2 linked regions of the Astyanax mexicanus genome follow. The protein of the gene in region 1 purifies or fractionates together with the protein of each later gene. This does not show direct contact. Links are inferred from orthologs where the notes say so. Each region holds a gene or a part of one and is shown in the gene's direction. Other genes may lie near its edges. The genes, in order: slc7a11 and otud5a.

What was found.
Region 2: the proteins of slc7a11 (region 1) and otud5a purify together in Homo sapiens (affinity purification with western blotting; 3 studies listed by BioGRID, with this or other methods). This does not show direct contact. The link is inferred for Astyanax mexicanus from reciprocal best matches to the Homo sapiens genes SLC7A11 and OTUD5.

The regions. Positions count from the first base shown.
Region 1 is NC_064417.1:29,468,818-29,484,722, forward strand, and holds the start of slc7a11 (cystine/glutamate transporter), read left to right. Parts: upstream 1-8,480; 5' UTR 8,481-8,621; coding exon 8,622-8,865; intron 8,866-15,905. UniProt on the Homo sapiens protein: Heterodimer with SLC3A2, that functions as an antiporter by mediating the exchange of extracellular anionic L-cystine and intracellular L-glutamate across the cellular plasma membrane.
Region 2 is NC_064419.1:3,679,605-3,695,428, reverse strand, and holds the start of otud5a (OTU domain-containing protein 5-A), read left to right. Parts: upstream 1-7,501; 5' UTR 7,502-7,797; coding exon 7,798-8,361; intron 8,362-15,824. UniProt on the Homo sapiens protein: Deubiquitinating enzyme that functions as a negative regulator of the innate immune system. Has peptidase activity towards 'Lys-48'- and 'Lys-63'-linked polyubiquitin chains. Can also cleave 'Lys-11'-linked ubiquitin chains (in vitro).

The DNA.
Region 1 (15,905 bases):
ATTAATATAATTCACGCTTTTTCTCTGCAAGTAATCGCAAATATTTCATAAACTACTTATATAATACATGTGCAATGGCTATGTAAATATTAAGAACAAATGTTCAGACAATATTAAATGGTTCAATCAATGGTTTCAAATATATCTCCCAAGAAGGGAGAGAATGCAGGGTCCAGGTACTTTCAGGGCCTCTCAAAAACCTAGCCTGTGTATTAGCACAGCTGTGATTATTTACAGTTCATTTAACTGTGTGGTTACAACCCAAAAAATATACACTCAACCATACACAGGGGTTGGACAATGAAACTGAAACAACTGGTTTTAGACCACAAAAAATTATTGTCCAGAAACAGGAGAGTTTTATGTTTTTTGGATACAATCCGGGTTAGCACCCGAACATCCCTTTTAGACAGGTTCCTCTTACAGCGTCCACAGTTAATCCTGTTGGATGTGGTTCGTCCTTCTTGGTGGTACACTGACATTACCCTGGATACTGTGGCTCTTAATACAGCACAAAGACTTGCAGTCTTGGTCACAGATGCGCCAGCAAGTCGTGCACCAACAATTTGTCCTCTTTTGAACTCTGGTATGTCACCCATAATGTTGTGTGCATTGCAATATTTTGAGCAGAACTGTGCTTTTACCCTGCTAATTGAACCTTCACACTCTGCTCTTACTGTTGCAATGTGCAATTAATGAAGATTGGCCACCAGGCTAGTCCAATTCAGCCATGAAATCTCCCACACTAAAATGACAGGTGTTTCAGTTTCATTGTCCAACCCCAGTAGTATATAAGGTACACAATAACATGTTCAAAGATTTTTTATATAGATGTATATTTCATATTTTAAAGAGACAGCACAAGTCGCACATTTCAAGTCGCAAATGAAACATTGCCCTAGTGAAAATAAAGTTGATTAAAGTATGCTAAGCATTATTATAGCTTAGTACACTAAAGTGTATTAATAGCCACATTATTAATCAGTATATTTAAAGAGTGCAAAAATATATATATATATATATATATATATATATATATATATATATATATTATACTATAATTCAATAAAAATAGTACAAAAGTCTCACTTAAATAGTGCTAAATGTACTTAGCTGTGCTAAAATGGAACTATTTTAAATATACTAAAGTAACATTTAAACACAATACTACTTAATGTATGTAACCCATATATTGTAAATAAGCTTACAGTAAAATTATAATACATTTAATGAGTATTACAAGTGTATCACTATTATACACCAGCTATAGTAGAAACTGTACTAAAAATTGATGCTAAATATATTTATATTAGAGTACAAATATGCTTCCTGTTTCTGTTGTAAGTAGCACACATTTAGTACTTCTAGTTGTTGGGTACTGTACTACAATTTGTATTATTTTTAAATGTAGTAATTTAATTTACTTTCCAAAAAGTTACATGATACATTGTACTTTAAGTGAACAAGTGTAACGATTGTTTTTAACACACTTTGCTAAAAATGAACAAAAGTATATTTTGAAATAAGCATTTTATAAGTATATTGAATTACATTAAACTAAAAGTGTACTTCCAACCCAGTATCACGCCCCTGTGTGAAATACACACGTTGGTCCACTAGGGGCAGCGTATCAGTGTCACGTTTTTGTGTGCCTGAAGCGTGAAATACACACGCTGCTCAAAGCCATATAAGCTGTACTTCATAGTATACATATATATTTTTTTTAAAACACTATATTGTACTTTTTAGAAATAAAAATTGATCAAATTTTACTTACACACATTAGATGCATAATATTATTGTACTTTTAATATATGTTTACTGTACATACATCTGTTAGTATATGTACAGCACACTTAGACATTTCTCAATATGTTTTAAGTACAATATATATTTTTTTATATTTATTAACCCAAATGTAAATACTGTATTCCATTATGTATTAGCAATGCTTAGTTTAATGCCCATTTAGACAAAATGTTTTTGGAATGTGTGATCTGAGACTTTCATTAGACCAAAACGCTTCCTTTTCTCCAGCTGTTTCTCACACACAGGAAGGTGATGTATGAAAAATCACCTCTGATGAGTGATCTTCTGGGAAGTGTTTCTCAATAATGGGAATGATGTCTAAACTCTGCATCAGTAATGTAAAAAAACAAGTATTGGCAATTCCCAAACCACTTCCAGCATGGTTACCAATCACCAAACCCAAAATTAAAAAAAAAAAAAAAACTGACTATATGATTTCTAGATGAATGACATTTTAAAAATTGACTAATTAAAGAACCAAGAAGAACCAAAAAGCAGGTCTAAACTTCTGGTATGTTGGTTCAGGGTCTCCCTGGGGTGGTAGCTGGTACTGTATCCATCATAGCTTTGGTATTGGTGCTGGTTTTGTGCTGAACTGATAACCTGGTCTAATTAAGCAGTGATCTGATGAAGGATGAGATAAGATGACCCTTATCTCCCTTAGTTTTTAGCCTGCAGCGAAGCCATGCGCAGGTGAGGCCTGCAACAATAAAAAACCTGACCATCAACAGCCTCAGCAAATTCCCTTCTGAAATGCTTATCTAACTGTGTGTGTGTGTATGTGTCTGTGTGTGTGTGTGTGTGTGTGTGTGTGTGTGTGTGTGTGTGTGTGTGTGTGTGTGTGTGTGTGTGTGTGCTGTTCGTGACTCAGAATAATAATGATTTTAGATACACCCACGCCCTCCAACTAAATAAAGTAGAGTTACTGTGCAGAAATACTGCTTTGTCACAGTGACAGTACACTATTGGTATGCTGGCTAACACTTAAGCACTTCCTGTTTGAAACAACAGTGTGTGTGTGTGTGCGTGCGTGTGTGTGTCTTGATAATATTAAAGCCTGCTGACAATTGTGTAAAAGTGCTATTTGTGTAAGGGTGTGAGTGTAGTAACTGTGTTGTTTTGTGTAGAGTGTAGAGTGTGCTGTTTGGTGTATAGTGTGGTGTTAATAAAGTGTGTTGTGTAGAGTGTGTGTTGTTTTGTGTAGAGTGTAGGTGTGGTGTTAATAAAGTGTGTTGTGTAGAGTGTGTGTTGTTTTGTGTAGAGTGTGAGCGTAGTAATAATATAGTGTGCTGTGTAGAGTGTGACTGTAGTGTTAATATATTTTTTGTGTAGAGTGTAGTGTTAATATAGTGTGCTGTGTAGAGTGTGACTGTAGTGTTAATATATGTTTTTTTGTGTAGAGTGTAGTGTTAATATAGTGTGCTGTGTAGAGTGTGTGTTGTTTTGTGTAGAGTGTGAGTGTAGTAATAATATACTATATTGTATAGAGTGTAAATGTAGTGTTAATATACTTATTTGTATAGAGTGTAAGTGTAGTGTTAATATAGTGTGTTGTGTAGCTGTGTGTTGTTTTGTGTAGAGTGTAAGTGTAGTGTTAATATAGTGTGTTGTATAGAGTGTGTGTTGTTTTGTGTAGAGTGTGAATGTAGTGATAATATACTTTTTTGTGTAGAGTGTAAGTGTAGTGTTAATATAGTGTGTTGTATAGAGTGTGTGTTGTTTTGTATAGAGTGTAGGTGTAGTGTTAATATAGTGTGTTGTATAGAGTGTGTGTTGTTTTGTGTAGAGTGTAAGTGTAGTGTTAATATAGTGTGTTGTATAGAGTGTGTGTTGTTTTGTGTAGAGTGTAAGTGTAGTGTTAATATAGTGTGTTGTATAGAGTGTGTGTTGTTTTGTGTAGAGTGTAAGTGTAGTGTTAATATAGTGTGCTGTGTAGCTGTGTGTTGTTTTGTGTAGAGTGTAAATGTAGTGTTAATATACTTATTTGTATAGAGTGTAAGTGTAGTGTTAATATAGTGTGTTGTGTAGCTGTGTGTTGTTTTGTATAGAGTGTAGGTGTAGTGTTAATATAGTGTGTTGTATAGAGTGTGTGTTGTTTTGTGTAGAGTGTGAATGTAGTGATAATATACTTTTTTGTGTAGAGTGTAAGTGTAGTGTTAATATAGTGTGTTGTATAGAGTGTGTGTTGTTTTGTATAGAGTGTAGGTGTAGTGTTAATATAGTGTGTTGTATAGAGTGTGTGTTGTTTTGTGTAGAGTGTAAGTGTAGTGTTAATATAGTGTGCTGTGTAGAGTGTGTGTTGTTTTGTGTAGAGTGTAAGTGTAGTGTTAATATAGTGTGCTGTGTAGAGTGTGTGTTGTTTTGTGTACAGTGTGAGTGTAGTAATAATATACTATATTGTATAGAGTGTAAATGTAGTGTTAATATACTTATTTGTATAGAGTGTAAGTGTAGTGTTAATATAGTGTGTTGTGTAACTGTGTGTTGTTTTGTGTATAGTATGAATGTAGTAATAATTCACTGTATTGTATAGAGTGTAAGTATAGTGGTAATATAGTGTGTTGTATAGAGTGTGTGTTGTTTTGTATAGAGTGTAGGTGTAGTGTTAATATAGTGTGTTGTGTAGCTGTGTGTTGTTTTGTGTATAGTATGAATGTAGTAATAATTTACTGTATTGTATAGAGTGTAAGTATAGTGGTAATATAGTGTGTTGTATAGAGTGTGTGTTGTTTTGTATAGAGTGTAGGTGTAGTGTTAATATAGTGTGTTGTATAGAGTGTGTGTTGTTTTGTGTAGAGTGTAAGTGTAGTGATAATATACTTTTTTGTGTAGAGTGTAATAGTGTTAATATAGTGTGCTGTGTAGAGTGTGACTGTAGTGTTAATATATGTTTTGTGTAGAGTGTAGTGTTAATATAGTGTGCTGTGTAGAGTGTGACTGTAGTGTTAATATATGTTTTGTGTAGAGTGTAGTGTTAATATAGTGTGCTGTGTAGAGTGTGACTGTAGTGTTAATATATTTTTTGTGTAGAGTGTAGTGTTAATATAGTGTGCTGTGTAGAGTGTGACTGTAGTGTTAATATATTTTTTGTGTAGAGTGTAGTGTTAATATAGTGTGCTGTGTAGAGTGTGACTGTAGTGTTAATATATTTTTTTGTGTAGAGTGTAGTGTTAATATAGTGTGCTGTGTAGAGTGTGACTGTAGTGTTAATATATTTTTTGTGTAGAGTGTAGTGTTAATATAGTGTGCTGTGTAGAGTGTGACTGTAGTGTTAATATATTTTTTGTGTAGAGTGTAGTGTTAATATAGTGTGCTGTGTAGAGTGTGACTGTAGTGTTAATATATTTTTTGTGTAGAGTGTAGTGTTAATATAGTGTGCTGTGTAGAGTGTGTGTTGTTTTGTGTAGAGTGTGAGTGTAGTAATAATATACTATATTGTATAGAGTGTAAATGTAGTGTTAATATACTTATTTGTATAGAGTGTAAGTGTAGTGTTAATATAGTGTGTTGTGTAGCTGTGTGTTGTTTTGTGTATAGTATGAATGTAGTAATAATTTACTGTATTGTATAGAGTGTAAGTATAGTGGTAATATAGTGTGTTGTATAGAGTGTGTGTTGTTTTGTATAGAGTGTAGGTGTAGTGTTAATATAGTGTGTTGCATAGAGTGTGTGTTGTTTTGTATAGAGTGTAGGTGTAGTGTTAATATAGTGTGTTGTATAGAGTCTGTGTTGTTTTGTGTAGAGTGTGAATGTAGTGATAATATACTTTTTTGTGTAGAGTGTAAGTGTAGTGTTAATATAGTGTGTTGTATAGAGTGTGTGTTGTTTTGTGTAGAGTGTAAGTGTAGTGTTAATATAGTGTGTTGTATAGAGTGTGTGTTGTTTTGTGTAGAGTGTAAGTGTAGTGTTAATATAGTGTGTTGTATAGAGTGTGTGTTGTTTTGTGTAGAGTGTAGGTGTAGTGTTAATATAGTGTGTTGTATAGAGTGTGTGTTGTTTTGTGTAGAGTGTAAATGTAGTGTTAATATAGTGTGTTGTATAGAGTGTGTGTTGTTTTGTGTAGAGTGTAAGTGTAGTGTTAATATAGTGTGTTGTATAGAGTGTGTGTTGTTTTGTGTAGAGTGTAAGTGTAGTGTTAATATAGTGTGTTGTATAGAGTGTGTGTTGTTTTGTGTAGAGTGTAAGTGTAGTGTTAATATAGTGTGTTGTATAGAGTGTGTGTTGTTTTGTGTAGAGTGTAGGTGTAGTGTTAATATAGTGTGTTGTATAGAGTGTAAGTGTAGTGTTAATATAGTGTGTTGTATAGAGTGTGTGTTGTTTTGTGTAGAGTGTGAGTGTAGTGTTAATATAGTGTGTTGTATAGAGTGTAAGTGTAGTGTTAATATAGTGTGTTGTATAGAGTGTGTGTTGTTTTGTGTAGAGTGTGAGTGTAGTAATAATATACTTTTTTGTATAGAGTGTAAATGTAGTGTTAATATACTGTATTTTATAGAGTGTAAGTTTTGTGTATGGTGTAAATGTAGTGTTAATAGACTGTTTTGTGTAGCTAAGTGTGTTGTGTATAGTGTAAGTGTAGTGTTAATATAGTGTGTTGTGTAGCTGTGTGTTGTTTTGTGTAGAGTGTGAGTGTAGTGATAATATAATGTATTGTATAGAGTGTAAGTGTGGTGTTAATAGACTGTGTTGTGTAGCTGTGTGTGTTGTGTATAGAGTGTAAATGTGGTGTTATTAGACTGTGTTGTGCAACTGTGTGTGTGTTGTGTAATTGTGTATGTAAAGGTGTTGTGTAAATTTGCTGTGTGGGTTTAGAGACGGTGAGACGGTGATGCAGTCTGCTCTTTGGGGGCGGGGCTAAGGCTGATGTAACTTTGCATCACTCACATCACCTATTTCCTCAATGCTGTTCCTCCGTCAGAGCTGTACCCACACACACACACACACACACACACACACACAGGCTGAAAGTCCTTCTGTGCACTTTTATCAGTTTGACCCAGAATTGCAGATTGTGAAGGACTGTTTGTAAGAGCAGTTGGATCAGGACCGTGTCTGGTTTAGAGTCGAGGTTCTCTGTAGTTCAGAGAGAAACAAAAGAATTCACCCTCGGGCTAAACCTCACCGACTTACTAATCACAGCACATGAATGAGAGAGAGAGAGAGAGAGAGAGAGAGAGAGAGAGAGAGAGAGAGAGAGAGAGAAAGACAGAGAGAGAGAGATAATGAATGAGAACAGAAAGTTAGAGGGAAAGAAAATTAAAGAGAGAGAAAGAGTGAGGCTGAGAAAAGTCAAAAAGAGAGGGGGGATAAAAACAAAACAAGTAGAACAGAGATAGAGAGATGAAAAGAAAAATGAGTAGTAATGAGAGTGAAGTAGATAAGAGAAGCACAATACAATACTCGCTACAGTTCAGTACAGTGTGTGTAGTGTAGTATTAGCAGAGCATGAGCAGAGTTTAGTAAAGTTTGTTGTATAGAATATTTCTAGAGTCTGAGTATTGTTTATAATATTAATAAGGTTTGTTTTGTAGCTCATTACCAGAGTAGAAAAAGAGTATTCATAGATTTTTAGTGGGATGTTATTGGAGTATTATTTATAATGTTAGTAAAATGTGTTGTGTAGAGTATTTGTGGAGTATGACTAGAGTATTGGTATAATTATTAGGATGTTAGTGGATTATTGTTTATAATATTAATAAAGTATTATTGCAGTATTAGTAGAGTGTTAGTAGGATGTTAGTGGAGTATTGTTTATGATATTAGTAAAGTATTATTGGAGTATTAGTAGAGTGTTAGTGGGACGTAAGTGGAGTATTGTTTAGGATATTAGTAAAGTAGTATTTAAGTATTAGTAGAGTGTTAGTGGGATGTAAGTGGAGTATTGTTTATAATATTAATAAAGTATTATTGGAGTATTAGTAGAGTATTATTGGAGTATTAGTAGACTGTTAGTGGGATGTAAGTGAAGTATTGTTTAGGATATTAGTAAAGTAGTATTGAAGTATTAGTAGAGTGTTTGTGGGATGTTAGTAGAGTATTGTTTATAACATTAGAAAAATATTATTGGAGTATTAGTAGAGTGTTTGTGGGATGTTAGTAGAGTATTGTTTATAACATTAGAAAAATATTATTGGAGTATTAGTAGAGTTTTAGTGGGATGTTAGTGGAGTATTGTTAATAATATTAGTAACGTGTGTGTAGAATATTAGTAGAGTATCAGTCGAGTAGTAGTAGAGTTTTAGTGGCATTTTATGACATAAGTAAAGTATTATTGGAGTATTAGTAGAGTTTTGAACAGGTGAACTCTGCTGTTGCATCATGACTCAGATCTGACCGTCTGCACTTCACACTTCTTCCCACACACACACACACACACACACACACATTCACATTCACACACAGAGCGCTGATGAAAGGGCAGAGCAGAGAAGGGGAGGAACAAAACAGTAAAAAGAGAAAAAGAGGTGTGTGTGTGTGTGAGTCTGAGTGTGTATGTGAGTGTGTGTTTGAGTGTGTGTGAAAGAAAGAGAGAGAGAGAGGTTGGCTTAGAGCTGTTCAATATTCAGGAGTGAATGAGTTTGGGCGGCCCTCAGCCAATCAGAAAGTTGTGCCGGGTCTGTGGGAACACCTAGTTCCTGTCAGGTTTTTTCCCTCCTTAGAGAGAGAGACGCTCAGTGACACGCGGCTTTACGGCCTTCACTCTCAGACTATAAAAGAGTGTGTGTCAGTGTGTCAGTGTGAGTGTGTGGTGTGAGTGTGTGTCAGCGTGAGAGTGTGAGTGTGTGTGTGAGTGTATAAGAGATAGTTTGGTAAAAATGAGCAGGAGAACAGCTCAGAATGGCCATACTAAAACAGATGGGGGTGTCCAGGCTGCATGTGGCCCCCCAGGTAAAGTGGCCCTGAAGAAAAAGGTCACCCTGCTAAGAGGAATCTCCATCATCATCGGCACCATCATTGGAGCGGGAATTTTCATCTCTCCGAAGGGCATCCTGAAAAATTCCGGAAGCGTGGGAATGTCCCTGGTGGTGTGGGTGGCCTGTGGGGTCCTGTCTTTATTCGGTGAGTGGGAAAAAAAACACACACTCACAGTCATATAATAGATATTCAATATACAGCATATTCTGTACCACTTTAAAATAAGACTACCTTTATAAAGGGTTTATAAATGGTTTACAACTAGTTTTTAATGGTTTCTAATCAGGTTGTAAATGCCTTTAAAAATCATTAATAATCAGTTATAACACATACATAGAAAGGGCAACAATGACCTGTTGTTTGCCAAATAGTGATCCCACTGCCAACTATATTGTTGCCCTTTCTACGTATGTGTTATAACTGATTATTAAGGTAGTCTTGTTTTAAAGTGGTACCGCATATTCATACTTGTCATAGTTAGCATCCTTTCATCATCCTTTTCTCTTTAATGGTCAGAACTCCTCAGAACCACCAAAGAGCAGCTACCATTTGGGTAATAGCTCATTCTCAACACAGGCAGTGGCACAGCAGTGCTGCTGGAGTATTTAAACACCTTAGCACCAGTGCTAGACTGAGAGTAATCAATCAATATTGTCTTGTGGGTAGCATCCTGTAAAAAGTGTCCTCTGTCTCTGATGTTATCTACTTTATCTACAAGGTGGAGCTGCTATAGATAAAAGTGTCTAATACAGTGGAAGACAGTGAGTGAACATAGTGTTTAAAAACTCCAGCAGCACTGCTGTGTATCTGAACCAGCACTTGAACCCTGTGACCCATCCTTCAAACACAGCAATAGCTGTTCTGTGGTGGTCCTGTCTGTGGGGTCCTGATCATTGTAAAACTGGTACTATAACACTATATTTTGTAGTTATAGAGCTATTTAGAAAGTGTAGAGTAATCAGTGTAGGAAGTGGTTTTATGGGTATGTCATGTGTTGATTGTGGGGATCTGATTTCTGCCAGTTTGCCAGAAGCTGTAAGCTGTAAGCATGGACAATTCTAGCCAGACACCACCAGTTATGATCATTTTACGTACATATATACAGTATGTTCAATGTATTTTCAATATATATCCTCGCTGTCCAATGAAAAACACCTAAAAGAGAAAAAATCTTGTAAACTTTTAATGGAATCGATGTAAAAAGAGTTTATTTCAGGTCATTTTAAAGAGTTTCTATTGGTCCATTCATCAAGAAATTTTGACTGTTCAAATTATGTAGTAAACTAAAAATATACCATATGACAGTAATGGAGATAAGTGTTTTTCATTGGACAGTGCTGATATTCTGTACTCCTTATGGAATAAACATAGGAATTCAATAGTAACAAACAGAAACCCACTTTTTGCTGAGTCATGACTAATACTAAGGTACCAAGGTGTTATAACCAAGGTCTCATGTCACTTATTACCAAACACTCAGTCAGCGCTTGGCTACTACCTGCCAAACACGCTACACTCAAACCCCAACCTCACACAAGCTCCTCAGCGTGTAATTCAATCTATCATCTGTAATGAATGACAAGCAGCTGGCAGGTACAGAGCAGGATGCCGGCAGCTCCTGAAAAGCCGGACACGTGGTTTCTGTATGTGTGTGTGTGTGTGTGTGTGTGTCTCTATGTGTGTCTATTTGTGTGTGTGTGTGAACAAAACTGTCACTGCCGCTTCCGTAATGCGAGCTCGTGAGCCGAGCACAGTACATCGCGCCGCAGCGTTAGAGCAGCAGGTGCTGTAACTCAGGGCAGGAACCGCTTCTCCTCATTCGCTCCTGTGACTCAGGCCTCATTGTTTCCTGTGTTTATTTAATGCACCTCTGACACGAACAGGCCCACAGGCTGGGAAACAGTGAACGGGGGCTTGGCCTCCGTCCACCTCACTCTGCATTTCAACTAGAGAGAGGCAGCAGATCTGAAAAGATGTTTGTTTTGCTCCCTGTGGGAGTTTAACCGGTATTTACACTGATGAAGCGCAATCATTTGCATAGCCCAATCCTAATTTGACCAATTTCCAGGGTGTGACACAGTTCTGTGATCTGTGTGTTTAGTCCAAACATGGATTAAAATATGTTCTATGTGACAAAAAAAAAAAAAAAAGGTAACACTTTACTTGGATGGTCCATTTTCTGGCCTCAGCTCATATTAAACTGAATGTATATTAAATGTAACATTACTAAACATTACTACACTCATATAATACTCAATACTGCATGATACAGCAGTGTTTAAATTTGTGATTAAACCTTTGAACCCTAGGCTGTTTTGGTGTGTTTGTTTTTTTCTTCGTTTTTGTCAGTTCCTCTTTTTCAGGTCTTATAACACAGTAATTATATCAGACAGACACATGCCCTGATTTCTTTTACTCCAGAAGCCATACGGCTGCTCAAAAATATCATAATTTAAAATGTAAAAGGAAGCAGAATTGTTATATATTCCTGGAACTGGTCATGTTTTGGTCAAAATTTTACCAAGCTCCTCCAAGTTTTTTATTTTACTCATTTTTGAATGTATATACTTTAAATATATTCACACCTAAGATATCCTTTCAAAAATGATTAGACTATAGTGTAAATGAGAAGTATGAAAGTATAAGAATATTGATGATAGTTCATTACATGGTTTACATGGACTTCTTTTTCTTGATAATCACACCTCTAGGATACATGTAGATTACTAAACACCTGACACTCAGAGCAGCCTATGCCTTTTAGTATTTTGATCAGGACACACAAAAAAATTAAAATAATATGATAAATAAAATAAATAAAAATGTTTAGTGCAAAATAACTACTTAGTAAAAATGTGCAAGTAAAATAAAAACTATATAAAGTCGTGCCATATCTAGCTTTAGTTTGAGTGCAGGTAGTTTCACACTTTTTCTGTGGACATTTTGAGTCATTTTGAGTCATTTACTGATATTATTTGGTTCGAAACATCATATAAATATGTTTGAAGCAGTAAAGGTAAATAATATTGGTTGGATTGCTATTTTTAGAAAGAGTTCCACCCTTTCTAACATTATATGGATTATGTTTCTGTGTGAAGGAATTCCTGAGTAATTAAGCTGAGAACACAAGGTGAGATCCGTCCGTAGGGTTCTTAGGGTTACATTTCGTGCTCCAAGTAGTCCAGAGGACTAAGGTGCTGCCACTATGATCGGGAGATCGCTGGTTTGTTTCCCATTCATGTAGCTTGCCATCAGCTGCCTGAGCCCTGAGAGAGCACAATTGGCCTTGTTCTCTCTGGGTGGGTAGATGGCTCTCTCTCACCACATCATTCCAAAGGGTGATGTCGATCAGCACAAGGCATCTGTGAGCTGATGTATCAGAACTGAGTCGCTGCGCTTTCCTCCGAGCCGTCCTGTTGTTGAGGCATTGCTAATGATCGGGGGAGTCCTAATGAGTAAGTTGGTAATTCGTCTTGTAAATTGGGGAGAAAATGGGATACAATTTTTGGGGGGAATTCGTTTCTATGCTTGCATTTTCCCCTTTTTCATGGGGTGATGATGCATCTCTTTATGTGGTAAAATTGCCCCTATAGGCCAAGCATACTCAACTTGCTATTTCAATTTTGTTTCAGTTGTGTTCAAAAAATATTGAAAAGGAAAAAAGAGAAATCTCTGCTTTTAGAAGTAGGTGGGTAGGAATATGAATCTACTCTCCATGTATTTGTGTATTTTAAGTCAGGCTATATTTTTCATGTTAAAGTTCATAGCTCTGCTCATAGTCACGCTGTGCTTCTGGTATAAATAAATAAATGAGGCGTGGGTTGACAACAACCGCAACTCATGCAGTCGTACTTTAACAGCAGGTGCCATTGTTTGCTTTAGTTAGCTTTAATCACAGGTGGTGTTCACCTTTATTTCCATATCCATTCTGTTTGCTGTCAGTTACTCATGTTCTGTCCTCCCCCAAACAATGCCTGTCAGAGCGATTGCATTTTTTCCCAGGCTGACCTTATTCACCTTATTGTTTTGTCTATAGTCGGTCCTGCTATGAGTGCTGATTATTTAATAAAATAGAAAGAATAAGCAGCTATAATCACACTCTTAAGACATTAGGAACATGGTTATTCACACACTATATGTCCAAAAGTATTGGGACACCTGCTTATTCATTGTTTTTCTGAAATCGAGACTATAAATAAGAATTCTTCCTGACTCTGTTGTCCAGAGAAGACTTCCTATTATGTTTTTGTGCATTGCTGTAAGGATTTGATGGAGGCCAGGATGATCAATACCCCACCTCATCCCCAACTCCCCAACTCATCCCATCCAAAAGTATTGGACAGAGGTCCATCATTCCACTGCTCTACAGTTCAAAGCATGGAGCCACTAGCATGTGGACTAGTACAACACTAAGCACACATTCCTGGAGCAGTGGGCAGCAGGAGAGCAGTTTACTAAACCTGGGTATTAAACCCATATCTCTGACATCTTCCACCCAGTGCTCCAACTATGGAGCCACCACGTCCCCAGGCTCAGCATCAGTTGGGTTCAGTTAATTGGAATAAATCCATATTACTTCCAGCAGGAAAGACTGATACCCTAACATTTCCAATCATTTTTCAACTGTTTTGGTAGCAGCATATGCACGAACATTGTCCTGTTGAAATAGTACACTGGGGTGTGCATTCAGAAAAGGTAGGGCCACTGGTTGCAGGACCTCATTAATGTAACAGTGGGCTATCTAAGTGTCTGTAACAAAGATCAAAGGTGATCTGGCAGCAAAATCGCACCCCATGCCATGAGACCATTGTCTCCAATAAGACAAAAGCAAGATTTGGGCAGATTCCCATATTATACTCAGCAACTGGGGTGTTGACACCAGTATTTTAGGCTGTTTCCCATATTATACTCAGAAACCGGGGTGTAAGCATCAAGACAAAAGCAAGATTTGTCACTGAAGATGATTAGCTGACATCCCGGATCACTTCCTGACAGTCTGTCACAACTACCCACCAGGTTTCATTCCTCTCAGTTGATTCTTCCTGATTCCAACAACCGTAACTACATGTTTTAGGCTCCTGGAATGTGTTTTACAAGCAAAAATGTGCACAGTGTCTTTGCAAGTGACATTTTTGTCTGGGTCAGTTGGGTACAGTGTGTGTACTGTGTTCCTACAGTGGGTTACAATGTGTTACTGTGTTTTTTTGCTGTTGAATGGAGTTCTATGGGCTAATGGTTTTAATTAAATTGCTCCAAGCAATTAATATAAAACGATTAAAGGTTCTTAGAAGGCGTCCAGTGTAAGATCTAGATATCTAGAATGGCTTGAAGGTAACATAAGCTAAATTCACCTTTAAAAGACTCTATAATCTGTGATTGGAGGGTCTGTGCCCCAAGGCCAAACATGGAAGTGTGTGTGTGTGCATGATAGAGCTTTTGTGCATGTATGTGTATAAGTGTGTGTGTGATAGACAGAGAGAAGCAGAGAGATTTGTATTGTCTTGGTAGTTATTTTCTTAACAGAAGCAAGGCTGTGGCGGTTGATGGCTCTGTGTACGGGGCATGAATTCATTTGTGTGTCAGGGCAGTATTGTTTAAGTGTGTGTGTATTCATGTGTGTGTCAGAAGTCATTTCACACTTGTCAGCACTCTTTTGTGGGCCGCCGCCTGCATGCTTTGAAGAACAGAAGAATTTCGAGCCATAGTTTTCACTCTCGGCCCGATCTGCTACCACCATCCTTCAGAAACAACAGGGGACAGAGAGCTAAAAGACCCTAAAGGTGTTTTTAAACCTAGGTTCTTTGGTCCAGACTTTTAGTTTGGTCTGAACCAGAAGAAACCAAAGAACCAAAATTTGTTTTGACCAGAAGAGGCTTAGAGACGAGAAGAAATCGGCCCAAGCTTTGCTCAGGTATGGCAGCATCAGTTGAGTTTTGGCGTTGGCCATGCAGAACAGGGCCCAATGTGGTTTATACACAGCAATTGGAGTTACTCGGCCTGATTTCCATATTATACTCAGTAACTGAGGTTTTGGCAAATGCAACTTGGGCCAATTCCCATATTTTACTCAGCAATTGAGGTGTTGGCAAATGCAGCTTGGGCCAATTCCATATATTTTACTCAGCAATTGAGTTGTTAGTATATTCAGCCCGGGCCGATTTCCATATTATACTCAGCAATTGAAGTGTTGGTACATGCGGCTAGGGACAAATCCCATATTATATTCAGCAACTAAGGTGTTGGCACATGCAGCTTGGACCGATTCCCATATTATACTCAGCAACCAGGATGTTGGCACAAGTCAAGTACAATATTATACATAGCTACTGGGGTGTACAGATGTGACCTTAGCATTCTGATTAAAATCTGATCTAGATTCAAACTAGATTCGAACCCAAGGCAATTCAACACAGGCTCAGCATTGGCCATTCAGAGATTTTTGACATTTTGGATGGTCTTAGTCTCAACTGTCTCAAATGAACTGTGGTTTGGTTAGTTTGAAATTAAACCATTTTTTTTAAACATATGGAATTTCAAGACCAATTACAGTAAGGTTAGTGCTTATATAAAAGAACTAGACAAGTTGTGCGCATTTGTGTGTATTTCTTGGCAATAGGTGCCAGATTTGGAAGCATAGAGTATCTTACTTTATAAACCTGCATTGTTTGGATGGAGACCTTGGAGATTGTTCCAAAACTTCAGAGTTTGAACTGGACCTTTGAAGTCTGATGCAATCCTTCGAAGTTTTGTCCAAAAAGAAAAGGAACTAAAATTCGGTCTGACCAAAAGAGCTGGTCTCAGTTTGGATCATCTAAGCCATGTTCTGGTTCATTTGCAGTGTGGAAACACTAAGCAATACCCCTGTGGACACACACTCCGCTTAGGATGAAACCACTGTTCCATGCTTTTTTTGGAATAGTTAGAATTGCTGATGCCATTCATCTATGTACTTTTAAATAACTCTGCAAATAAGCTGATGAAGGAATATTTTATAGAAATTACTCCATAGAAACTGTGGTGGTGATGTAGATAGAGCCCTCCATCAGAGACAGACCGCCTCCACACATCAAATCAGATCTCTAAATGTCTTGTCTCGTGCGAGCGTCACATGCCGGTTGTGTTTCTGAGATTAAAGATTGTTTGTTCGCTGTTACAGAACATCATTTAGAACAGACAGAGGATTG
Region 2 (15,824 bases), on another chromosome or scaffold:
TGCAGTTGTGGAAACGGTCGTGTACAGAGTAGAGGAATTTTACAAGTGCCCAGCTATGGAGTTTAAAAGCTGACATAAGTATTTGAATCTGCATTTTGTATGTTTGAAATAAACTTACCTGTTTTTTTGTTATATTAATCAGAAAGTCAGATTTTAACAAGGCTTTTTTGTTTCTTGAATTTAGAAGAGGATACAATTTTATAGCCTCATTATAACAGGGGTGGGAGAAAATATTGATATTGCAATATATTGTATCGATTTTGTTTAGTTTAGCCATATATTACCAAATGTGATGTTAGATATCGTCGCTTTCCAATGAAAAACAAGTATCTCCATTTTTGTCAACAAACCAACAGTCCCTTACATTGTGTCAACATTTCTTAATGAATGACCAATAGAATTTCTTCAAAATGACCTGAAATAAACTCTTTTACATTGACTTCCATTGAAAGATAAGAAGGTTTTATCTCTCTCCTGTAGATGTGCTGTTTTGGAGATACTTGTTTTTCATTGGACAGCGACAATATCAGTATTTTTATTGAAACTTAGGTATATGTCCCCCAATTGACTGAAGTTACTGCTTCATTACTCCACATGGTGGCGCTAATCAAATCAAATGAATGGGGTAAATCTATAGTGAAAATATTAGTTATCAAATTCTGTGAAACTGACACCAATAAATCCAAAAATAAATCCAATAAATTTTTGGTGTATTTTTGGTGTATTTAATCCTAGTCAATAAAACAGATGTTGTGAAGTATCATAGAAAATTCTGATACATCTATGCAATATATCGAGTACTGCAGAATCATATTATCATGATATTATCACTATTGTATGCAAAGTATTGTGATAATATTATCATATCATGAGATGTTCTGTGATTCCCACCCCTAATAAATAAAATCATTATAACATAACATTTTCAGATCCATAAATTCAAATGTATCACCTATGACCTGTATTTTTATTTTTATTGCAGAGTTTTGCATTAAATAGATTTTTTTAAATATGAAGCAGATTTATTTTTTAATATTTAAAAATCGTATTATTTTGTTACAAAAAATTTCAATTAAATATTTTATTTTATTTCATATAATTCAGTTATACAAAATGCAGATTGGAATACTCACGTCAGCTTTTCAGCTCCGTACCCAGCCGAACACACTCCTGCAATAACAGTACATCACTACGAGTTTTCGAGAGCATTTATAACATGAGGCATGCTACTACGTTAACTAATTATTTGTATAATTTATTCACCATATGAGCATTAATCCAACCGAGATCTTCAGATCTTCAGATCACACATTTGGATTTCTTGCATGGAGTTCTTGCATGCTGTTTTTCAGTGCTCACAAAGTATTTATTTATTTATTTATTTTCTTTCTCACGTCTAAAAATACACAGATGCGAGAAGGTGGTAAACACATGCACACTCACACACACACACACACACACACTCACTCACACTCGCACAATCCTGAAACAGGATTTTTTTTCTTCTTCTATATTCTATATTCTCTATTCTATTTCCACTGCATTTATTATCACCTGTATTGTAATAATAACAGCGACTTTTACCTGCCGGCTGTTGTCACCTGCGACTAATTAGCCGTCAAGCAGAATGAATATTTGCTACAGCGGCCAGGCAGCTGTGTTTACTTGGCCTTTGCACTTTTGGATATCTGTTGATTTTGAATTTTCTGAATGTATATTATTCCTCCTTATTGATTAATCACTTTGTTCTTTTCACTTATATGTTTATTATATGATATGATTTAAATGAGATTCCATATAGAGGCCTAATACACTGACATTTCCAAAAGTCAGACGACAGCAATATGGATACTTATCAAGATCTCACACCCACACCTGTGTACAATGTGAGGTGTTATCTTGTGAGTAAAGGCCAATTTATACTTCTAATCTAACCCACAGTGAACAACAGTGCAGTGGGTGGTTATGATCGTGAACGGCAGCATCTGGGTACAATTGTCCATGTGAACAGATGAACAGAAAATTCAGACCTGCTGGAGACCCTACAGGTTTATCCAGCAGGTCTGCGCAGCATCCTTCAGCTTCGATTGGACATGGCAAAAGTCATGGGACACAAGACTATCCTATTCCTATTGAATGTTTCCTGACATTTGGCATGTCAGTGTATATACAGCTCTGGAAAAAATTAAGAGATCACTTCAGTTTCTGATTCAGTTTCTCTGATTTTGCTATTTATAGCTTTATGTTTGAGTAAAATTTAAATTAACATTATTGTTTTATTCTATAAGCTACTGACAACATTTCTCCCAAATTCTTAAATATAAAAATATTGTCATTTAGAGCATTTATTTACAGAAAATGAGATATGTCCGAAATAACAAAAAAGATCATGCAAATAATGCGAGTTCAGAAATCAATATTTGGTGGAATGACTCTGAACAGTTTTCAGGCATCTTGGCATCATGTTCTCCTCCTCCACCAGTCTTACACACTGCTTTTGGATAACTTTATGCTGCTTTACTCCTGGTAAAGGTGTGTTTATTGATTGAAATCCACAAACACTTTAGTTTGGACAGAATGCCGGGCTTTTCCACTGTCCGGTTATTATTTATGTTCTGCGCTGTGTATTATCGTTCCACAGTATGTTCAGCACCTCGTTACATGGTTGACAATTTCATTACTGAGAGACCGTTTCAGTTCTCTGCTGATTATATTATATTATATTGCCACATTCAATATTCATTCTCCTTTAAAAGGCATGATGGCCGTGATAGGTTGGGGAACAGGATTGCGTCAAGGTACCATCAATGAAATCAGTGTTTAATTTTCCATTACAGAGCGTAATTTGATTAGCCTCTGCAGCAAATAATAAACAAACACCTCCGGCTGCAGATGGCCAGCCCAAGGAAATACACAGAAATATAAACAGATCAGCCACATCATTAACACCACTGACGGGTAAAGAGGAAAACACTTTACTTTTATCTTCATCTACTGTGGCGTCTGTTAAAGGGTGTAGTTAACACATTAGGCAGCAACTAAACAGTCTGTTCTTGAATTGAATATGTGTTGAAAAGAGGAGTGTAAAAATCGAAGGTTATGTTAATTTGATCCATATCTGACATTTTTTCTGAACAGGTTGCTCTGTGTAAATGAGATGCATGCGCACAACAGCTATGCTTCACATGAAGTTTCAGTTTCATCCTCGCTAAAATGAAAGAAATATTGAGCTAGTTTCATAGTTTCTTTCTTAATTTCCTATTAATATTTCTTGATAAAAGAGAGACTACTTCAGTTTCTGAATCAGTTTCTCTGATTTTGTTATTTATAGGTTTATGTTTGAGTAAAATTAACAATGTTGTTTTATTCTACAAACTACAGACAACATTTCTCCCAAATTCCAAATAAGATAAAAATATTGTCATTTAGAGCATTTATTTTTCAGAAAATGAGAAATGGCTGAAATAACAAAAAAGAGTTTTCAGAACTCAAATAATGCAAAGAAAACAAGTTCATATTTATAAAGTTTTAAGAGTTCAGAAATCAATATTTGGTGATATAACCCTGTTTTTTAATCATAGTTTTTATCATGAATCTTGGAATGTTCCCCTCCACCAGTCTTACACACTGCTTTTGGATAACTTTATGCCGCCACTCCTGGTGCAAAAATTCAAGCAGTTCAGTTTGGTTTTATGACTTTTGATCATCTTCCTCTTGATTATATTCCAGGTTTTTAAATTTGGTAAAGTCAAAGAAACATTTTTAAGTGGTCAAATTGTTTTCCAGAGCTGGATGGATCAGATATTAAAGTGAATGAAGTGTGTTTTTTTGCGCATTAAAATATATCTGGAATCTAACTTAACATATTCATTTTTAATGCAAATTAATCAAGAATTATATTTAGGGGAAACACACCATCTCTACTGTCAGTTACTCAATCTACTGTCTGAGTGAGTTTATACAGTACAGAAGATCGGTCCCATGAGTCGTGTACAACCCAGACGAGGACCATATTGAACCCTTCCTGTTCCCTATCACTATCACTGGCCACCATGAAGCCTATAGTTCACATATTGGACAAAAGGTTCTGCTTTCCAGCTGAAAAGTATGGGTATAATTTAATATGTACTACTACTAATAATAATACCACACTAAACATTATTCAGTGTTCATTATATTAAAAGCATAGCATAGCAAACACTAATCATAGCACTAATCCTCATATAAAAATAATAAGTAAATGATAATGATAACCAAAAGTAATCAGCTCAGATCTGCAGGGATGCTCTCTCTCTCTCTCTTTGTCTCTATTGTCTATTGAATTTGTCATTGTTATTGTTTGAACCAAAGATGAAACGACAAATATTCAAAGGACCTGTCACGGTCAGATACGCAGAGGACATCTGTATAATGCATTATTAAACCTGAGTTGATCAAGCTGAAGTTGATGAAGTAAATCTTTGTTTTTGATGTAGTTTATACGTTTATTTATTCATGAATTTATTCTAAATGATATTTGTAAATGCATAAGTTAACATTGCTGCACACAGTGCTGGATTATCCTCACATCCATTCGAATCGTACCATGTTTTATTCTTCAGCCGCTCGTAATAAAAACACTTAACAGTTTTGATAGCTGTTTATAATCACGTATTAAATGTGGTGTCCACTCCTATAGAATGCAATATTACAGCACTGATGATAATAATTACAGCACTGTCTGCTCACCGCTCACGGTTTGTGTTACCCGCTGCTGGATGCTGGTTGCTGGGGCTCTGAGCACTGGGTTATTCTGAACAATGCCTGGAGTTTATTGCTACACACGTGCCCTCTGGTGGTGGAAGAGCTTGATGGCATATATTTGCTTTATCTGTGTGAATAGCAGGGTATTTTGTAATAGGAGGACAGACTGTTGTTTATATTTCGAGGTACTGTAGGTCAGTACTGCTTTAGGCGTGTTGGTCTGTGCTCAGTAGAAGACAATTGACTGTATGCAGAAACATCGGAAAGAAATAAACACAAATATCACAAATATCTGCTTTTGTGTGATTTTCTTATTGAAATATGCTGTTTTTTATCATATGTGTTGATGTATGTTACAAAGAAAGAAGTGAAAATGGTAATATATATATATATATAACATTTCTCATTTTTTAATAGATTTTTTATAGATTATTATAGATTTTTATCAGTCAGTAAGTCTGTAGTTAGTGGATACTTTTGCACCCCTTACAATAGAAAAGTTCATTTAAGTATATTTTTTAAAAGTATTTTAAAAGTTTTTTTTTATTTTATTTCAACAATAAAATTAATACGTACTTAAACAGATACTAAATGTACAATTATGGAACAACGTATGGCAACTTTTATAATTTTAAGCTTAAATATTTAAATACAACATAAAAGCATTACATTGTGCTTTTGAGTGCTTTTTCATATTATGTGTTATTAAACATATTTTTTATTACACTTGAAATATAAATGTACTAAATGTAAATGCACTTTAAGCAGTATTTAATGCCAAGAGATATATTTTCCATCAGCATGTTTAATTTAAAGCACATTGCTTAAAAATACAATTCATGGAAATACAGACTTTTATGAAACTATTCATGAAAATGTACTTTTAATGTTTATACTTTTGAGTATACTCCCTTTTAAAAGGGATATTTCAAGTCTTTTCTAAGAAAAATAGAACTACTTTAAAAAATACATATTAGATGTTAGTAATTCTAAAAGTTTTAGTTAGATATCAACATTTCTCCTCTTCTGTAAATTAAGTTCTACAGGTACAGCCAATAACTGAAAATGATCTAAAATCCAGTGTGCAAAAAATGCAGTAAACTTAAAAAAAAAAAAAAAAAAACTAACTAACTGAAATTAGGGAAAAAAAAAAAAAAAAAAAAAATATATATATATATATATATATATATATATATATATATATATATATATATATATAACTATAATAATAACCATAATAATAACTAGAAAAGAAAATGATACAGAAACACAGAGAACTCTATCAAAACTATCAAAAGTTAAAGTCTTTTCTTTAGAGAAATTACAGATGAAGCCAGAGAGTGGTGAGTCCTGTTTTCTACACCTTCAAAAGACTCTTGGAAACTGAAGAAAAAACTGCTACAGGAGGACGTCTGGCTGACCCACATGGAAATATTGGACTAAGTCTCAGTTTCAGCAGTGAAGAGAAAATTTAGAGGTCTGACAGGTGAAGTGCAGAAATAAAGTCATTGTTTTTTGGGTCAAAGAGGCACTGCTACTAAAAAAAATAGAGGTCTTCAAAACCTTTATTGTTTTTTTTTATTATTTCTTTTTAGCTATTTTATCTAAATAAGTCCCTCTAGCCCAACCCTGGTATAAGACATGAATGATGCCAGTGGTTACTGTTAGTCTGCTCGAGAGAGTCCTATTCTATTGGTAGTTCTTTTATACAGGGACTAAACAAACTGTTAAATGTTAAAATTTTAACATATTTGAGCTTTTTTTTTCAGAAAAAATATAAATGTTACAATTTAACTTTGGACAGTCCCATATATAATACTTACTAAATTTCTCAATATTTTGTGTGACCACCATGATTATCTAGCACTGCCTTAACCCTCTTGATGATATCACAAAGAAATTAATAAATACAAAGGAAGAAAGAAAAAAAGACAAATACAGCACAGAAAGAAGAAAAAAGAAAGGGAGAAAGGAAAAGATTGAAAGAAAAGAGAGAAATTAATACATAAAAAAGAAAAAAGGGAAAAAAGAAAAGGGAAATGACTAAAGAAAAAGAAAAAAATGCAGCATAGAAAAAAAGTGAAAAAGAATAGACTGAAAGAAAGAAAAATGATATAGCCTAGAAAGAAAGAAAAGGCAAATGAAAGAAAGAAAGAAAGAAAGAAGTGAAATAAAATTGAAAGAACAAAGAGAGATTAACTAACTAACAAAGAAAGCAAGAAAGAAAGAAAACAAAAAATAAAAATATGAAAATAAATAACAGATATCAATAAAGAAAAAATGAAAGAATGTAACCTAAAAAGATTAATATAACCTAGAAAGAAAGAAAGAAAGAAAGAAAAATATGTCATTGAAAGAAAGAAAAATGTTGCATAGAAGGAAAGAAAAAAGGGTGAATGAAAGAAAGAAAGTAAAGAAAGGAAGGAAGAAATATAGCCTGAACTGAAAAAAGAAAGAAAGAAAGAAGTGGTGAGAAATAAAAGAGTGAAATGAAAAATGAAAAAATGGCCTAGAAAGACAGACACAAAGAAAGCATAAGAAAGAAATAAGAATATAGCCTAAAATAAAAAAGTAAATAAAGTAAAAATCATAGAGAGAAAGAAAGAGAGAAAGAAGGAGAGAAAGAAAGAAGGAAAGAGGAGCGGGGCTGCGGGTAGTTTGATGGGAGCCCGTGGCCGGGGGGTTTGGGGGGGATTGGAGGGGGGGGGGTGTTGGATCTGTCGATCTGTATGAGGGGAGGAAGTGACGCGACCGTGTCGTCAGCGCTGTGTTGATGTTGTTGGACGCTGAGCGGAGGGGAAGCTCCAGCAGTGGCGGCTCGGCGGCGGCGGAGACTTGGGCTGTTTTTGTTCTCTCCGCGGCGCTTTTTACCCACAAAAACGACGCCTTACCTTACCCGAAACCTCCAGGGAGGAGCCCTCGGTCCAGAGAAGACGGCCAGGCTGAAGCACGGGCGGCGCAGAGCTCTCCCCGAGCCGGAGGACTCGTCACCCCTGACACCCCTCCTCCTCTTCCCGCTCCCCCCTCCCTGCCCTCCGCGCACACACAGCCAACATGACGATCCTGCCCAAGAAGAAGCCGAGCTCCACGGTCGGGGTCCAGGACCACGCCGACGAGAGCGACAGGCGAGCCGGCTCCGACCCTCACCAGCACGGCCACGGCGTTGTGCGGACCGGGGCGAGGCCTAGAGCTTCACCGCCGCCGTGGTCATATCAAGCCGCGCCGCCTCAGTCCAGGGAGGACAGGCGGAATGAATCGAGCTCGCGGCCGCAGCAGGCCTCCCCTCCGCCGGTGGGAGCTGGATCCCCCGCCGGCCCGGGGGACGGAGGCGGTCTGGGCGGGATTAGCTGCGTGTCCGGCGGTCGCGGGGAGCTAGCGGGCGGCGTGGTGGGCTGTGGGGGCACTATCGGCAGCTGCTGCTCTGGGCCGGGTCTCAGCAAGCGGCGGCGGCAGGCGACCTGCTCTGGGGGAGTCGCGGGCGGGGGGACACCCGGTGTGTCCGGGGGTGGTGGTGTGGGTCCAGGCCCAGATCAGGAGGAGGGTGCCGGGTACAACAGTGAAGATGAGTACGAGAATGCTTCCAGACTCCAGTCAGAAGATCCAGCAACAGTTGAGCAGGTAAATATGCAGCGTTTGTGTATGTAAACATTAGCTAGATAGCTAGTTGGCTATCACCAAAATAAGCTAAGCTAAGGCAGCTGCAGCTGACGGTTATTTTGGCAGCTGACGGTTATTTTGGCAGTCGACTAATCTGACGATTATTTTTTTCGATTAGTCGATTAGTCAGCGACTAAATTTGCCCCCTGTTTAAAAGATTTGAATTTTGAGCATCACTTTCAAGTGGAACTTGGTTTCTCACAGCCAAACTATCAAAATACAGGTGTTTATAGTGAGATGATCATTCATTTTACAAGGATATTGTACTGCAGGGTATTGTACTATTTTTTTTCCGATTCGTCGATTAATCGGCGACTATTTCTGACATCCCCTCCATCACTGCCTCCTGTGGGCAGGGCTCCTGTTTCAACTCGTCTTTTAAATCACTTGCTGAAATCTGCACACCTGTGATTCTTACCCTGTTCTAGCAAACTAATAAATTAATATATGCAGATAAAACTCAAATATCAACCAATCAACCATTATTTTGACTCGGAGGTGCATTAAGGACAACCCTCATTTTCAGTGTAGCTGAGCATTTACAAATACAAGGACTGACATGACGAAGAAAATAACTACGTTTAGTCATATTAAAAAACAGAAACTAAAAGATAAAAATAGATGAAAAAAGAATAAAATAAATAGCATAAACAGAAAGAAACAAAGCCTAGAAAGACAGAAAGAAGAGTATACCCTGGAATTAAAGAAAGGGTGAAAGAAAGAGAAAAATATAGCATAAACAGAAAGAAACATGCAGCCAAGACAGAAAGAAAAAATAAAAAAAAACAATAATACCTACTTTAATTAAGAAATTAAGATTAAAAATGAGATTAATACAAAAAGTTAAAATTAAGCTAAAACTAACTTTTACATAGTACAATAAAAATACAAATGAATAAAGTATTAAAAAATAAGTAATTTACATAAGTAGGACTGCACAATATATTGTATCAGTGGCATGATATAAAAGAGTTAAATAACAAAAAGAAGGAGAGAGAAAGAGTGACAAGATAAGAACAAGACAGAAAAGGGTAAAACAAATGGATTGACAGATATTCAACAAACAAAAATGAATAAAGAGTTCTAGAAAGAAAGACAGAGTGAGAGAGAGGGGGGGGGTGGGAAATGAATGGACAGAAGCGAGATTGATATAAAGAAAAAATGACAGCACATCTGTGTGCATCTAAATTCAGAGTAAAATAAATATCAGGCAGATGTAGTCTCAGATATAGTTTGCGATGCATTAGCGATAATCTTTAAGACTCACCCCTAATTTGTCTTACTAAATTTTTGTTACTAAATGCTTCGTTACACCACATGGCGCTAAAACTATCACAAATCAATCCATAATTCCTGTTCTTGCTTATTTAGGAGTATTTTATTATCTTTAAAACAGATATGAAATATCGTAGAGATTTGTCTTGTAAATTACAGAATTGTAATGCCATTATTATTATTATTATTATTATTATTATTATTATTATTATGGGCAATGTATCATGATAATATCGTATCAGGAAATGCTCTTTAATTGTTCACATGTACACATTGCAATAACTATTCTGAAACAGATATATTGTGCAGCCCTGATTGAACACAGTTCTTTGGATCACCTGGTAAAGAATAACCTGATAAATGTAAAAGTGTTGAATTTTGAGCATTACCTTGAGGTGGAACCTTTAGATGGTTTCTAACAGATAAAGTATCAAAACACAGATGCTTATGATGTGTAAATGCAGACTGGAAATCCTAATTTAATGAAGACAGCAAGCATCAGCAGTGTTTTGTGGTTAATCATAGTAATAACAGAAATAAAATACTAATAATAAAGGCTTGGGAAAGCTGCTACTTGATGAACATTCATTTAAGTATATAAATATTGTTGACATTTATTTCTGTTTTTATTACTGTTAGGATATTGTACTGCAGTGATGATAAGGTATCAAACAACAAACATCTTCCCACTGCATCCGCAGTCTATATAAGCATAAAATGTTATGAGAGTTTGAGTGATTTTTTTTCTTTTATGACACGATATTAAAACTTTAAATAAAATAAACTAGCCGATATTACAGTAAACACTCTTAAACACTCTTCAACCCCACAGGTGAAGTTGCACTGTCATTAGGCCTGTCACGATAAGATTTTTTGGTAGACGATATATTGTCCCAGAAATTATTGCGATACACAATATTTTTGTCATTTGAGACAGATTTTGAAATAATGATAAAAGAATAGCATAAAAAATCAATTATACACTTTGTAAAGATGACAACATTTGAATAATTCATTTATTATAATTAGTTTGAGAAATATATACTTTATTTTTTCACCTACCTTAGTCCACACTTTGAGTATGGAGTCACAGTTATTGAAGCATGACTGGATAAAATACTGTTCACTGTTTTATATGTGAACAAACATACAAATAAACACAATACAACACAAAATACACATCTCGTCAGTCACACTGCACAGTCTGAATATATTCTGTCTAGACTTTAGAAGTTCGGCTGCTATTTTTACAGTTTCACTGAATCTTGAAGCCATAATCAAACAAAAATAAATATTTTAACAACAAAAAAAAATAATATCTAATCTATCTGCCATGAAAATCTAATTTCGTCAGTTTGGTTGCTATGTTAGTCCCCTGCTTTTTCCAGCTATGAGAAATGGTGCACCACATACATTTTCTCAACCCAGAGAAGACAAGAAAATGTTTCTCATCCCAGTCCTTAGAACTCATCTGACGGTTCCACGTTTCAGCTCTGTCCCAGGTCCCAACACACTAGGTTAGAGCGAAAATGCAGAACTGTCAGGTGGACCCAAAGGACTGGGTTGAGAAATGCTGATTTAAAATACACAAGGCCTTTTCTTCTGGGACTTCTCTGGGAAGATCATTTAGAGAAACTGGTACACTGAAACACAACAGTAGTGCTCGAGTATCTGAGGGCAGATTTTCCAGGGCAGTTAATTGCATATTTTCCTCTGCTGGGAATTTCTTTAGCTGTTAGAATCTTCATAAAGGAGATACTAGGGGCTTTAAATTAGTTTTTATTTTCAGCCTTTTTGCATTTTGTAACCTTTTTTTTTTAGTTAAAAAATGTCGACTCCAAATTTCAGTGAGTCAGTGAGTTAAAATAGTTCCATTGCTGCTCTGTTTATTGCTGCGCTGTTTGGCTTGTAAGCGCTGATTCGTTGCTAGGTTACCTGTATGTAGCAGCCTAATACATGAAGAGCTTCGGTTACAGTGCATTACCGGCTGATAACGGCACTCATAGAACGCCTCTCAGCCAATCACATTGCAGTGTAAGAACAAAATGTTGTATAAAGGGGTAATTGGAACACTCACACAGTTGCAACATGCAACTTGGTCTGTGTCTCCAAAAGTGCTCAAACATAACTCATTACATATTTACTCACTAAATATCAGAACAGTCCACATTTAAAAATCTGGGCTTTTAAAGGGCATTTACATCTCACGATCAGCTGTTTTTCATTTAAAACTGAAGAAATGTATGACAGAAACAACTTCTGACTAATCGAATAATCATCAGTTTAGTCAACAACAACAAAAAAGAAATTGGTTGCAACCCTACTGTAGATTAAACAATTAGATTTGTTTCTCTGTGTCTCTATGTAACTCACTATTGGAGGTATGTTGTGTCATGTCTTATCATACGCATAAAAACATCGCCAACATTTTTTGATATGGTAAATTATATATATTATGCTATATCTCCTCCCACCCCTATCACATTAGGGTTCTACTTTTTTTTGCTGTTTTTAGTAAAAGAAAATATTCTTAGTTAAAAGTTTCCCATTATATATCTACTAGAGACAGATTATATCTATAAAGTATAATTTATTTTACTTTAATCCTGCATATGTGAAGATATTTCTGTTACAAATCTAAATCTAGATAAAATTCTTGTTTTTTAATATCTCAGTTAGGGGTATGCCATATCATATCATATATGCAATAATAACATTTAATTTTCATATTGTTGCAGTTGTGTATTTAATTTTTTTAATAACAAAGGCTAAATGCTTTAATTTTCCATTATTTTTTTGCCTATATATTTTGTCTATTTAATGTAGAGTTGCAACAAATAATTGATTAAAATAAAAATATGTTAAAATAGTTGACATATCTAAACAATATCTGATCAGATATATTGAATGCGTTAAATAAATTATATTAACAAATATATTTACTTTTTAGCCGGTTAACAATTAATTAAGCAAAACAAATAATCATTAGTTTAATCATTTATAATCAAAATAATTGTTGGAAGCAGACCTATTTATTGTGATCAATAATAATAACAGTTCCACTTTGTGCTAAACTCACTGAGCAGTGTGCAGAAGTTGAGGCTTTTATTATGACATGGGTCTGCTGGACAGGAACTGCAGTATCTGTGTTCCTTATGAATGAAACTTCATAAGTATAAAATATAAGATTAAATATAAGAATTTAAAATGTTTTATTAGCTTTTTGAGTTAAATAAGTATAATGTTTTTTTTCACTACTTAAATGTTAGTAAACAGAACTGTGCAGAGAGTCTGTGAAATGCTGTTTAAAATAGTGAAGTTAGCATTAGCTTAGCTTCTGAACAATAATAAAACCAGCCCCTGCTTCCTGTTCTGTGTGGATTGGTCTATATTGTGTCCTGTGTAATTTATACACTTATCGTACACTAAATGGACATGACCTCAATAGTATATGATAATAGTGATATTGTTTATTATGTTTATTTGTGTGTTTGTTCACAAATATAACAGTGAACAATATTTTAGTCAGTCGTGCAATACCAGACCAATGTTTTAATAACTGTGACACGATACACACAGTGTGTACTGTACAGACTGCTGTAGATGGAAATATATATATATTAATATATATGATATATGATTAATTAAAAATGATGTTATTGGTTTTATAAGGATATGGATTGTATGTTATGCTGCCATTATATTATCGTTATATCAGTGGAATTTAATAGCCTTAAATTGACAATAATATTGTTTATTGCTATGATTTCACAAAAAAATGTTATTATGACAGGCCTAATATTTACATTATTGGCTTATTGTACAATATTTATATACAACCTCAACCATTTTTGCTGGCCTGATATTGCCTAATATATTTTTCATAGCAAGGAGAGTCTAGTATTATTAAGAAGACAATGTGCAATTTATTTAAAATCAGTGCTTTTATTCTGTATGTTAAAATAACAAATCAGTGGTTCTCAACTGGTCTAGGCTAGGACTCACTAAGTTGTGACCCAGACCCCCTTTTTAATGTTTACTGCTCTTTTAAATAATATTATTATATTATTTTGCTATCATATTGTTATAATATTAGTAAAAAAAAAAAATGAAAGACCAAAAAAAGATGATCCTTTATTTTAATTATTCCTGGAATAATATATTGTTCAGTAAACTAAAGTTCTTGTGAAAGGTTTAGCCTGGATCTGATGTGATTGCACAAAGGAAACTAACAAATACAAACAAAAACAGGTGCTGCTAATTTTACGCATTATAGTTTGGCACTATTTGTGTGTTATCTGCTGCTTTGATCATGGTTCATGTTAAAATGTAGTAAAACAATCTATGTTACCTATAATTTGTTCCTCACTTAGCACATGCAGTGCGACAGGTTTAGGCACCTGAGTGCAGCTGTGAATGTGTTAAAGTTGGGCGTCAGTCTGAAGTTGGTGTCGTTTCTAAATTAGAAACTCTGGCTCTAATTTATACACTTTATACTTTTATACACTCTAATTCTACACTGACTGGTGCTAATGTTATGGCTGAGTAGTGAATGCAAACAAAAGCTGGGGAGCAGGATCAGGACTGATGAACACCATTTTTAATGGAGACAGGAGTTCGTTTAGGGTCTTAGTTAGTTTAGCCATCAAACTCTCAAAAATCTTATTTTTAACTTTAATATTTGAAATGTGTTCCTCTGAAGAAATGAAACATACACACTGGAAGCAGGGCTCCATGATATATCGTTTAAGCATCATCGATAACACCTAAGGCAATTAAATAAATTAAACACGTCATGTTGCAATGTTTTGATTCTTGACACGAGAAGCAGATACACAGTGCTGTCTCTGAGTCTGTGTGAGTGACATGCTGCTGCTGCCATTAAAATGTCTGATTAAAGGGCCGATTACTGTTGTTTTGCTGTTTTCCTCGGGTTTTAAAAGCTTGGCGCTGACTACGTTTTTGATTGGTCCAAACGCGAGACAGTAGTGTGCTGGTGGGGTGTAATTTTTTCTGATATCGTGCAGCCCTAACTGGAAACATTTTAAAGTGTATAAAAAATCTGGCCAAAGTAGATCCAGATCAATAAAAATCCTGTTAAAGCAGGTATAAAGCAGGGTTTTTTAGAGATCTTTATAAATGGCTCAGATCTATTTGCATATATTTAGCACTGTCTCAATCACTCGTTTGTGGACTGTTAAAGATGTGATCTGAAAGCTCGCTGAGAGCTCACAGATGCTGAAAGTTACCTTTATATAGGTTTTAATTAGACGTGTCAGGAAGTGTGTGAGGTGTTGAGACCTGAATGTGTCTGGCATTGAGTTCTGCAGAGCCAGTGCACAGCATGTTCCACTCAAATAGCTCCAGGTTTTTTAAGAATTACAGGTTCATTAGGATTCTAAATATGAGTATTGCCACATCCATAGGAACAGCATACTAATAATCCTGCATATTTAACTGTTGTTACAAAAGTAAGTTGACTACTGAGTTTTAAAAAAAGGTGGGCAGGTCCTGATGCCAAAACCCAGACAGATTTCTGTATTTTTTGTACCAGAAAGTTTAAATAAGATCATACTGGCTAAAACTAGGGCTGGTTGATATTGATAATTGGTTTTGTGATATATATATATATAAATCTATATCAAGGCATTTTCTGCTGAATAGGTACCATTTCTTTCCCCAGGAAATTACATATATAAATGTGCACACTAAATAACTTTAAAATACATTTTATTCTGAAGCATAGTGTACATTGTACATTGACCTGATTGCAAAAATAAGATATGTAATGAAAAACATTTAATAAAAACTACCTAGAACATAAAAAAATATCATTTGTTACCTGTCCCCAATCTCTCTCTCTAACTATAAACTTGAAATATACAAACCATGAAATATAATTAAAATTGTATTTTAAATAGAAACATAATATATAATATATTTGCATTGTGTGACTCAAAATCCATCTATAATGTAAATAAATAATAATAAATCCATAATATTTAGATTAAAATACACATTATAATGTAAGCATATTCGGTTTGACCAGTACATGCTTTGAATAGTTAAAAATATTTAATAGATTCAGTTTAGAGAGTGAGCGCAATATTAAAAAATACAAGTTTCATCAAATTTAGCTAGAAATCAAT